Linked DNA regions of Elephas maximus indicus. The protein of the gene in region 1 purifies or fractionates together with the protein of each later gene. This does not show direct contact. Links are inferred from orthologs where the notes say so. Each region holds a gene or a part of one and is shown in the gene's direction. Other genes may lie near its edges.

Region 1 (3,745 bases):
GCCTATACTGGACATTTCATATTAATGGAATCATACAATATGTGGCCTTCTGTGTCTGGCTTCTTTTATTAGCATGATGTTTTCAAGGTTTATCAATCTCAATTGTTAAACCTTGAAAATTATGATTTACAAATAACATGTATCAGTACTTCATTCTTTTTTAAGGCAAATAATATTCCATTGCATGGCTATACCAAATAACCCAGGTGGCGCAGTGGTTAAGCACTCAGCTGCTGGCTGAAATGTTGGCTGTTCAAACCCACCATTGGCTTTGCCAGAGAAAAGACCTGGGGATCCGCTCAGGTAAAGATTACAGCCTAGGAAACCCTTCCTGTGCTATAGGGCCATTATGAGTTGGAATAGATGACACAGGGCAACATGGATATAGCACCCTTTGTTTACCCGGTCATCAGTTGATGGACTTTCAGGTTGTCCATGTATCATGAATAAGGACTTTTGATTATTAGAGCTGCTGCTGCTGTGAACATGTGTACAGATTTTGTGTGGTTGGTATGTTTTCATTTCTTTTGGGTATATACCTAAGAGTGGAACTGCTGCAACAAATGATAACTTTATGTTTAACTTTTTAAGGAATTGCCAGACTGTTTTTCAAAGTAGCTGCACCATTTTACATTCCCACCAGCAGTGTATGAAGGGACACATTTTTATTTCGTGCTAAATCAGGTTCGTTTTAGATTGTGATAGAGACTATAATACTGGCAAGTGGCAGAAATTTAACACAATTTATTGCAGAGAAATTTAAGACTACAGATTAATACTCTTGCTTTTGTGATCACGGTCTCTATTATTCCCCAAGCACTGCCTCCTCTTTCAGGCACCTGGGAAGTCTAGGCCCACAGGGGTACCAAGGGCAAGTGGCTGCAGGCCTGGTGGCCGGGCTTTCCCGCGTCCCGAGGGGCAGCCACGCGGCCTGGGCTGGGCCGCCCAGTCAGCGCCCCAGGGCCTGAGTCACGGCCTTGGCTCGGACCGGGGCTGGTGTCCTGCACGCCCGCCGGCCCGGCCGAGCCGGTGACTCGGTGGAGGATGAAGCTGGGTGCCGGCTCTCGGGGACCGGGCCCAGGCCCAGGCCTGGGAGGCGGCAGCGCGGCCGCGCTGGGCAGGGGGCGGGGGACGAAGCCGCGCCCCCGCGCCCGTCCGGCCCGCGCCCCGCTGGAAGCGGCAGCCCGCCCCGAGCCCGCCGACGCTCTTCTGCGCCGGCAGGGGCAGCAGCGGGAGCGGCGCGGGGCGGAGCCGAGCGGCGCGAACGGCCGGGAGAGGCCCGGCCTGGCCTGGCGCGGCGGCAGCGGCGGCGGGAGCGACGCCAGAGGCCGCGGGCGCCTTTCGCGAGGCCGCCGCAGAAGCCCGGCCGCAGCGCGGGGAGGCCTGGGGTCTGGAGGCCGCCGCTGCCGCCATGCCGCTGCTCTTCCTCGAGCGCTTCCCCTGGCCCAGCCTCCGTACCTACACGGGCCTCAGCGGCCTGGCCCTGCTCGGCACCATCGTCAGCGCCTACCGCGCCCTCAGCCAGCCCGAGGCCGAGGCCGGGCCCGGGCCCGGGCCCGGCGAGTCGGAGCAGCCCGCTCCCAGCCGGGCGGACGCCGGGGGCCCCCGGGCCCGCGACGTGGCCCAGTACCTACTCTCGGACAGCCTCTTCGTCTGGGTGAGCGAGGCTGCCACTGGCCCCGCAGAGGTGGACGGGCCAAGCGGGGCGGGGGCGCCCCGTCACCCATTATCCATGGGGGGCGTGGCCTCCCCACGGGACCACCGTGTGCGGGGGCCTGGGGCCGGGGGACCGAGACTGCGCTCGCGGAAGGAGAGGGTTGAGGGGTTGGAGTGGGCCCGCGGTGGGCAGAAGATGGGGTGAGGGCGTGAGGAGGGGGCGGCCCTAGGAAGTTGGGGGCTTGAGGAAGGTGTCCAGGAGGCGTGGTGGGGGCGCGCGCGGGTCGAAGAGGCCAGGCCCGGGGCAGGGGAGACAGCGCAGGGACGGCAGGGAAGGGGTTAGGGTACTCGGGGGAGGAAGGGGTGCAAGTAAAAGGTGGGGACAGGGTGGGGTATCTGAGGGACCCTGGGGAAGGAAATCAGAAGACCTCAGGTCAGGTTCAGCGGGGAGGTGAGGATCAGGAGTCAGCTACTGGGAGCGTTAGAGTAAGTGGACAGAAGTTGAAAGGCTTTTCTGACTGGGTCTGGCATGAGTAAGTTATTAGCGGGTTTCCAGTGAAAAGGACAGGGCAAAACAAACAAACCCAAAACCCAAACCCGCTGCTGTGCAGTCGATTCCGACTCATAGCTACAAGGGATGGGAGAATTCAGAAGCTGAGTATGGGGGAATTTTAGGCATTTCGTTGTGTTTGGACATTGCTGTTGGGAGGGCGGCCGTCTCTCACAACTTTTTACTGCCACTTGGTATTTGCTCGTCTTCTTTGGGTGCTATTTATTTTAAAAAAAAAAAAAAGGACACAACTGTGCTTCGTCTCTTGCTGCCCTTACCTGATGATTCATGACGGTTTTCTTTGATGTTGGAAGCAGGGTAACACAGCATTCGGGGTCAAGAGGCTGCTCTTTATTTTAACTTGGGATTTCTCCTTCTAGTGATCCATTTTAAAACAAGACTTCCAGCTTGCCTGCCAGTGCAAGATAAGCAGCATTTACAAGGCATACGTGTTTGTCTCATTTATGAAAACAGATAATTTCAGGCTGGGCAGGTCAACTGTATTTTGGCTAAAGAATTTTGCTTCCACCTGGACTTTGAATGCCTGTTATATAAACTCCACAGTGATCAGAAAAGTGACTCCAAGATTTAGTCACTGGGGGTTTTACATCCGCGTTTTGGATCTTGTCTCTTTCTCAGGTTCCCATTTGGGCTTGAGTTGTTGTGTGCTGTCGGGTGGATTTGGACTCATAGAGACTCCATGTGACAGGGTAGAATTGCCCCGTAGGATTTTCTAGGCTGTAATCTTTTAGGGAAGGGAAGCAGATAGTCGGGTCTTTCTCCCACGGAGCCACTGGTTGAGTTCAAACCACCAACCTTTTCCTTAGCAGCCAAGTGCTTAACCTTTTGAGGTTGAAAGTAGCCTGTAAATGACTGAGGGATTAATATTCCAGGCTGATAGAATGATATACAACTCATTTGTTATAATTAATCCCACTGTGCTTCATCAGGAAGCAGTGGGATTTATGAATTCTGGGGGCTGTGGAATGAAGTCTCCTGGTCCTTCTGATGTAGAGATTACTAGAAGGTGATGAAGGGTGAAGTTCCATTCCTCTACGGCTGTGTAAAGCTGCCAAAGACTGGAGAAGAGAGAGAACTCATCTCTTGCTCTCAAATCTGCTTTTGCATTTGAGTTGGCAGGTAAACAATTTGAAGTGAAGAGTGCCTTTGACAAATGTTAAGATTATAATGTAGTCTTTGATATATTTTTTAAGTCAGAGATATAAAAAAGCCTTTGAGAAAGAACTGCTATTGTACTTATATAACAACCACTAGTATTGTTTAATGATTTTTTTTTCCTTTAGGAGTTTCTTCTTACAAAGCCGGTGTTCAGATTCCAAGGTTAATACCTCTTCATCAAATACTATGTAAAATCTGTTGATTTTTCTGTGAAAATTATTTTTAAGAAAATTTCTTTCTTCTCAGCTTTTTCAGTAGCAGTGTTGCCTCACGTAACCTTATCATTTCTTCCTATCTGTTGATAATACCTTCATTTCTCAGTTGATCTTCTTAACCGTTTTCCACCTTTTTTCTTTGGTT
Region 2 (3,745 bases), on another chromosome or scaffold:
TTCTGATTTGAATGGCCAATACCGGTCCATTTCAGCTCACTGATGCCTAGGATATCTATCTTCAAGCATTTCATTTCATTTTTGACAACTTCCAATTTTTCTAGATTCGTACTTTATATATTCCACGTTCAGGTTATTAATGGTTGTTTCAGCTCTTTCTTCTCATTTTGAGTTGTGCCACATCAGCAAATGAAGGTCTCAAAAGCTTGACTCCATCCACGTCATTAAGGTCAACTCTACTTGGAGGAGGTAGCTCTTCTCTGGCGGTATTTCGAGTGCCTTCCGACCTGAGGGGTTCATCTTTTGGCACTATATCAGTGTTCTGCTGCGATTCATAAGGTTTTCACAGATCAATTTTTTAGAAGTCGATTGCCATGTCCTTCCTCCTAGTCTGCCTTAGTCTGGAAGTTCTGCCGAAATTTCTGCATCGTGGGTGACCCTGCTGGTATTTGAACTACTGATGGCATAGCTTCCAGCATCACAGCAACAGGCAAGCCACCACAGTACAACAAACTGACAAAATGAGTGGTGGATGAGAACCTTAGGGTAGGTTATTTTTAATCAAGACTGACCATCCAAGAAGTGAGGTCTCTGTGGCTAGAGGAGCCTAAAGAAAGGAGGGAAAACCCACAGAAATTAGCTGGTCCAGGCCAGGCTGGGGGTCACAACCTCTTCAGAGTAACGCTCTAATTTCTGAGCCCTGGCTTGAGTGGACGGAGTGCACCGATACCAGGTGAGCAACTACCTACTGTGTCCAGATACTTGGTTTTCATATTTATTTAGTAAAACATCTCATTTCTCATTTACAGCTGCCTGATGAGGTATGTTTTAGGAATGAAGAAGCTTAAGTTCAAGGACATTAGATAACTCTCCCAAGGTCATATAGCTGACACGCACGATAAGGATTCTGCGTTTCTGGCGGTTCTGAAGTCCATGCTTCTTCTACAGTACTACAAGTGCAAGGTAACGGACAAGGACCAGCCTTGGGGAGTGGTATCCTCAGTCAGCCTGGTGGGGCAGTCCATGGGTACTGGGTTCCGGGGTGCCTTCTGGCGTCCACTCCAACAATGGAGTAGGCCGCGGTAGGAGCCAGCAAAGCTATAGGGTCCAACCTCCCCAGAGCCTTCATTACTGCATCTCGAACAGGGCGCTCTGAGGTGCTCCAGCTGACTTTTTTCTGAAGGGACAAATGCCCGGTTGCTGGTAAGGGAGGGGTCGATCCAGCCACCGCCCAAACCTCTGGGGACCAGCGCAACCCCCAAGCCAGCCCCGCTCGGGCCCCTTAGCCACCCTCCTTCCTGGGCAGCCGGCCAAGCCCTCCGTGGGGCGCGAGGAGGGGGCGGGGCCGCGCCCGTCCGCGGACTACAACTCCCACAATGCGCCGGCCGCCCGGGAAGGAGGGCGCCTGCAGGTGCCTGCGGCCTCGGCGCCTGCGCCCGGAAGTGCCCGCGGGCCGACATGGAGCTGGCGGGGCTGGGCGGTGAGTACCGCGCGGGCCCGCTCCCGCCCCGCCCCGCCCGGGATCGCTGTGCCCTCAGCGGCTTGGGGGCGGGAAGATGGGAGGTGGATGGAGGAGCCGGGGGTGGGAGGGTGAGGTGTCGCCTTCCCCGGGCCGGGTCTGGGGTCGGCTGCGGCGTAGGCTCGGAGAGGCTCCCGGGGACGCGCGGAGTCGGCCCGCCGCGGGCTGGGGTGGGCGTGGGTCGGGGGGGCCGAGGAGGGTGGCGGGTGGCAAACCCCGGAGGCTGCCGCTTGCTTGGGGGCGGAGCTTGACGTTTGATGTGGGGGAGTTTAGGAAGCTGTTGGGGTTTGGCTGAATGGCAACGGGGGGCGCATAGAGGCCTTTCCGCCCCCTTGAAGAAACTTTAGCGACGGAGGAGTAGATAAGCTGTGGGGTGAAGTAGAGGGTGGAGTAGATAAGCTGTGGGGTGAAGCTTGGTGGGCGTTGACTTTAGGGGAGGAGTTCCTTAGAAGACCGGGGTCCTTACCTTGGGATGGGGTTTGAGTGAATTAGGGACCTGGCTAAAGAGATTTAGAACTCAGGTTACCTGAAGTTAGGACTTTCGATTTGGTGGTGGAGCGGGACACCTTGAAAAACACCTTGGGGAGTTTGTGGCGACCGGGAGTCCAAACAGTCTGTTCCGCGGGATGTGGCTTGGGTACAGGGGGCAGAGGAGTAAGGGCTATGGGAGAGCTGGAGTGCGTTCAGAGGGCTCTTGGCCAGAGAGCCAGCCTCTCATGGATTCTTTGTGCCTCTCCAGCTCGGTAGCGCAGCGGGCAAGGTGGGTGCCATGGCCCTGATTGAAGGGGTGGGTGACGAGGTGACCATCCTTTTTGCGGTGCTTGCCTGCCTCCTGGTGCTGGCCCTTGCCTGGGTCTCAACACACACTGCCGAGAGGGCCGACCCACTGCCCCAGCCGTCAGGGACCCCAACTTCAGCACAGCCGAGCAAAGCCGTGGTAGCTACCGATAGCATCAGAGGGGCGGCCCCCGGAGCTGAGGCCCCCAGCCTGAGACACAGAGGTCCAGCTGCACAGCCAGAGCCGGGCACAGGCATCCCAGGAACACCGCCACCACCAGACTCCCCACAGGAGCCCCTTGTGCTTCGGCTGAAATTCCTCAATGATTCAGAGCAGGTGGCCAGGGCATGGCCCCAGGACACCATCGGCTCCTTGAAAAGGTAAGCTGGGCCACAGCGGGGTGATGATCTGAGCAAAATGCTAAAGAATGTGGTGGGAGTGGTCACAGACCCGGGTGGGCCACCAGAGACATCCCCCTTACCTTAAAATGAAGGAACCAAGGTCCATAAGTTACATGCTGGTCCAGTCCTTGTCCCCTGGTAGCAGACCGCCCCCACTGAGGCTAGATCTGGTGGTGGGGTGTGGGGCAGAGAGGGGGGGCAGGGTTTTGTTCTAGGGCAGGGACCAGGATTGGCTGAGGCCTGCTCTCTTACCCAGGGCCCTCTCTCCTCAGGACCCATTTTCCTGGCCGGGAACAGCAGGTTCGACTCATTTACCAAGGGCAACTTCTAGGAGACGATTCCCAGACCCTGGGCAGCCTTCACCTCCCTCCCAGCTGTGTTCTCCACTGCCACGTGTCCACACGGGCCGGTCCCCCACATCCCCCCTGCCCACCGGGATCAGAGCCAGGCCCCTCCGGGCTGGAAATAGGCAGCCTGCTGCTGCCCCTGCTGCTTCTGCTGCTGCTACTGCTCTGGTACTGCCAGATCCAGTACCGGCCCTTCTTTCCGCTGACCGCCACACTGGGCCTAGCCGGCTTCACTCTGCTTCTCAGTCTCCTGGCCTTTGCCATGTATCGCCCATAGTCCCTCCACGGGCAGTGGGCAGCACTGCCAACCCCTCTGGACCTTGCTCCCCACGACGGAGTGGGAGCTGCTGTCTGCCCAGGCCTGCTTCTCCGGCCTGCCTCTTCCCTCTGTCCTGGAGCACAGACCCTCGCCGCCGAGGACTCCGGGGGCCAGCAGAGGCCCTTCCCTGTGACCTCCATGGCACCGAGCCCCCTCCTGGAGCTGCTGGCCCTCAGCTCCCACTGACAGTGGGCTCCTCGGGGTCAGGCAGCTGCTGTCGCTGCCTAGGCCCTGGACAGAGTCGGGCAACCCCACTGGGCCCATTTTAGTGCTCTGCTCTGGAAGAGGAGGACCTAGTCACCTCCAGTCCCTGATACTCCTTCGTCTGACCTGGGGACTCAGGGACTGCGACGCTTGTGGAGGGGAGCGGGAGCAGCAGAT
Region 3 (3,745 bases), on another chromosome or scaffold:
GCGCCATTATTGCCCACCTTCTTTACTACGCTAGTCTTAAAAACAACTGTTGCCATGGAGTCTACTCAGACCCATGGGGATCCCATGTGTGTCAGAGTAGAACTGTGCTCCACAGGGTTTTCAGTGGCTGATTTTCTGAAAGTAGATCACTGGGCGTTTCTTCCAAGGCACCTCTAGGTGGTCTTGAACCTCCAACCTTTTGGTTAGTAGTTGAGCAGGTTAGCTGTTTGCACCACCCAGGGACTCCATGCTGCCCATATTCCCTCTCATTTGTGTATCTACTGTTTTCCCTTGTCTTCTTTTACTGACCAAATAATTTCTGCACATGGTGCAAAATTTTAAAACACGAAAAAAATGAAAATGAAGTGTGTCGCCTTCTGTCCTTTAGTCACCCAGTTCCCCTTCAAGTAGAAAAAAAAGGGCATTCAAGCGTTTCAATTTCTTGTCCTAGCTTCCACACTTAAACCTGCTCTAGTTCGTTCTGTTCCCATGACTTGGATGCCCTTCATAAAGCCCGCACTGAACCAGCTTAGGTGTTCAAACAATAATTAATGGTAAGTAAATGATGCCGTTGGATCGAACGCCCTCAGCACTTTACTGGCAACAAGTCTGGGAGCTCCTCAAGTGCAGGGTCCGTGCCTGAAGCACGTGCTTGCCACATAGGCTCGGTATAAACCACAAAAGTTCGCAACAGCGACCACACTAAGAGGAAGCGGGTTGTCGCACAACAACATACTGACGAGTCAGACCTTTATCCGAGAGCCCCTGTCCTTTCCTCTGCACTGTTGCTTAAGCCAGACTATCGATTTCCACCCCTTTCCGGAGCAGATAACCACCACCCATGCACAGAAAAGGACCACCTCGGAAAGAATTGCGCGGCCGCCGGCTGGGAGAATTTTGTCCCGTCCGCTCCCCGTCTCCGCCCGCGGGCTGGCGGCAGCGTCGCTGTGCGTCCTCGCGCAGCCGTACTTCTGGGGAGTGGGCGGGGCCGGCTGTGGCGGCGGTTGGCGCGGCCAGAGAGGCGGCTGCACGTGCGGGCGGGGGGGGATGCGTCACTGATCGGTGAGGCGCGGCCGGGGGTCGGCCTCCCTCCGGAGCCCGCAGCGGGCCCCTTCTCAGTTAGTGCCCTCCGGCGGGAGAGCAGCCGTTGGGAGAGGGGGGGTGTCATGACGCTCACCTGCCCGGGTTGGCCCACGGGCCGCCTCGGGCGGAGGGGGAAGCGGTCTCTACAAGAAAGGAAAAATGATGGGAAAGGGGCACAGGACTCCCCAGCTCGGCCTGCGGTCGCGCCCCTGGTCTCCGAGCGGGAGGGTGGTCACTGAAGGGGGTGCTCCTGTCACTCACGGGGCTGGGGCTCCTTCCCTCCCTCATCCAGGAGGAACAAGGATGAATATGACTCAAGCCCGGGTTCTGGTGGCTGCAGTGGTGGGGCTGGTGGTTGTCCTCCTGTATGCCTCCATTCACAAGATCGAAGAAGGACACCTGGCTGTGTACTACAGGTGAGTGGCGTGTGCAGCCAGTTCAGGTTCTAGAGCAGATGGAAAGAGGACTCCTTTAAAGTAGAGTGGAGAAGTTGTTCCCTCTGCAGCGTCCTGAAGAGCGAGCGCTCCCCAGTCCTAGGAAGTGCCCAAGGGAAAGTATGGGCAACAGCAGCAGGCTTTTTAGGGTACCCTCCAGGTGTTTGACAGTGTTCGTCCTACATACATTTTGTTGCAGAGATTTAGACCCCTGGCTGTTATTCTTCATATACAACACTTAGTTATTTGTAGAAAGGCAAGCAGGCAGTGAGTAGTTACTCCAGCGGTAACCAATGAGATGGGTAAATTGTTATATTCCATCTAACTGCACAAACTTTTAGTTTGTAGTTACAGATGCTGTTTAGAGAATCCAGACCTGTTTATGGTTGTTTCTTGGATTTTTCCTTTTAAAGCCCTCAAGTGTCTCGCTTATGAGGCCTTGATGACCATGGCAGTTGTTGTATCCCTGGATCTTGAGGGACATAAACAGGATTGATGAGCCACCCTCCTCCCACCTTATTTTTACTTTTCGAGTTGAGACGAATAGTATGAAATATGTTACTGTCTAGTTGAGCTTGCAGAGCCTTTCCTTTAGCATAATTACCACCAGGTCCTTTTGATTTAGACTAGTAAGAGAGGACAATTTGTGGAGAAATTGGGATAGTGGTGTTTACAAAAAGAGCTTCAACTTTTTGCTTGTTTTTATCTGTCCCTCAACTTGGTATTTCTTCTTTTAGAGCCATCTTGAGTCTTAGAAACAGTCTTCAGTGTGAGGAGCTAGTTTCAACTACAATATTAGCATAAGAAATGACAGATTATTCAATTTTCTGTCTAGCTGAGCATTTTCTTCCTGACAGTGAAACCAAGGAAAGCACAATTCAGGGTATGGCTCTGAAAGAATGAGGGATGAGCCTTAAATATTTCATCTCTCCTTAGTTATTTGTCATGAGTTCTTTGCAAACCTATTCATATTTTCAGAATAATAAACTTTAAGTTCTATGAATTTATTATTAACTGTGTAAAGTAGGACTTTTAAAATATTTGCTCCCAAAATGCCTCCTTTTTTATAATTTTTGAGGTGGGCTTTCTCACATTCATTTGTTTGGAGAACAAGTCCATGTTCATATCCTGTCTACTTATAATCTTACCCCCTTACCATTCATCTTTCCATGCTAATTTTTTTCCTGTTTTTATATACTTTATACAGTCAGTATTTTAGTTTTATTGCACATAGATTAAAAGAATCTCGAGCCTCAGAAATTTTCTCCTTCCTTGAAAGTTTGTGTCTTCTTTTTTTCAACCCGGTGATTAAATGTTCTCATCTGACTCTCTTTATGTATGATTAAACTGTGAGCCCTTGGAACTTTTTTCCACGAGTATTTCTCAGAAGGTTAAAGACCAAGGAGATCCTTTAAACCTGACAGTGGTACAGGAGACCCAGAGGTATAGTTGGTCCAGCTTATGAAACAAGGTGTAACATCCAGCAGTTTGGCTTGATCTTTTCACCTTTTGGGGTGTGGCAGGTATTTTAGGGAGCAGCACTTGTTCACCATGAATAACTCATGTTAGTAAGGCTTTATTAGGTCAGTAGCATGAGTAAGAGTGAATATTTGTTTTAGCATTTTAGATTTAGAGAATTTCTCTCTTTATAATCTTGTCAAATTGAAACATCTTTTTGCAGGGGAGGAGCTTTACTAACTAGCCCCAGTGGACCAGGCTATCATATCATGTTGCCTTTCATTACTACGTTCAGATCTGTGCAGGTGAGTGATTCCTAGGGAAGCCCCCACACTGGATAGACAGGTGTAACAGGAGCAGTTACCACACTTGTGGGTGGAGATGGATTTCCTTATTGCTTAAGCAGATGGTAGCATTTACTTAAACGGAGGAGCTAAAGTTCAGAGTACAATTGTCATAGCATACGTTGTGATGAACCACCTCACTCTCTTGACATGCGTTAGAAGTATGAGCTAGGCAGCTTGGGAAGCTTGACTTTTCCCGTCTCTATTTTATAGTGGTATGCAGCAGGCTTTCTGTTAAGTATTTGTTGCTGCTCTAAAAATAAGAGCCAGAATTGGGAACACAACTAGAAATGCAAACCAGTGACTGCTTGGTTTAGAACATTGTTTGGTTTCCATAGAGGCAGGCTCCTGGGCTACTGTTATCATGGAGAATCTGGATTTCTATATGTACACAGTTTTTCTGTCTCAGGTTTTTTGCCTAGTACG

The links.
Region 2: the proteins of AMFR (region 1) and TMUB1 purify together in Homo sapiens (affinity purification with mass spectrometry; 3 studies listed by BioGRID and IntAct, with this or other methods). This does not show direct contact. The link is inferred for Elephas maximus indicus from reciprocal best matches to the Homo sapiens genes AMFR and TMUB1.
Region 3: the proteins of AMFR (region 1) and ERLIN1 purify together in Homo sapiens (affinity purification with mass spectrometry; 3 studies listed by BioGRID and IntAct, with this or other methods). This does not show direct contact. The link is inferred for Elephas maximus indicus from reciprocal best matches to the Homo sapiens genes AMFR and ERLIN1.

Annotation. Positions count from the first base shown.
Region 1 is NC_064839.1:23,462,624-23,466,368, reverse strand, and holds the start of AMFR (E3 ubiquitin-protein ligase AMFR), read left to right. Parts: upstream 1-1,258; 5' UTR 1,259-1,411; coding exon 1,412-1,657; intron 1,658-3,745. UniProt on the Homo sapiens protein: E3 ubiquitin-protein ligase that mediates the polyubiquitination of lysine and cysteine residues on target proteins, such as CD3D, CYP3A4, CFTR, INSIG1, SOAT2/ACAT2 and APOB for proteasomal degradation.
Region 2 is NC_064838.1:12,134,084-12,137,828, forward strand, and holds the start of TMUB1 (transmembrane and ubiquitin-like domain-containing protein 1), read left to right. Parts: upstream 1-1,395; 5' UTR 1,396-1,480; intron 1,481-2,258; 5' UTR 2,259-2,288; coding exon 2,289-2,677; intron 2,678-2,970; coding exon 2,971-3,322; 3' UTR 3,323-3,745. UniProt on the Homo sapiens protein: Involved in sterol-regulated ubiquitination and degradation of HMG-CoA reductase HMGCR. Involved in positive regulation of AMPA-selective glutamate receptor GRIA2 recycling to the cell surface.
Region 3 is NC_064834.1:51,843,337-51,847,081, reverse strand, and holds the start of ERLIN1 (erlin-1), read left to right. Parts: upstream 1-1,072; 5' UTR 1,073-1,242; coding exon 1,243-1,499; intron 1,500-3,198; coding exon 3,199-3,280; intron 3,281-3,745. UniProt on the Homo sapiens protein: Component of the ERLIN1/ERLIN2 complex which mediates the endoplasmic reticulum-associated degradation (ERAD) of inositol 1,4,5-trisphosphate receptors (IP3Rs).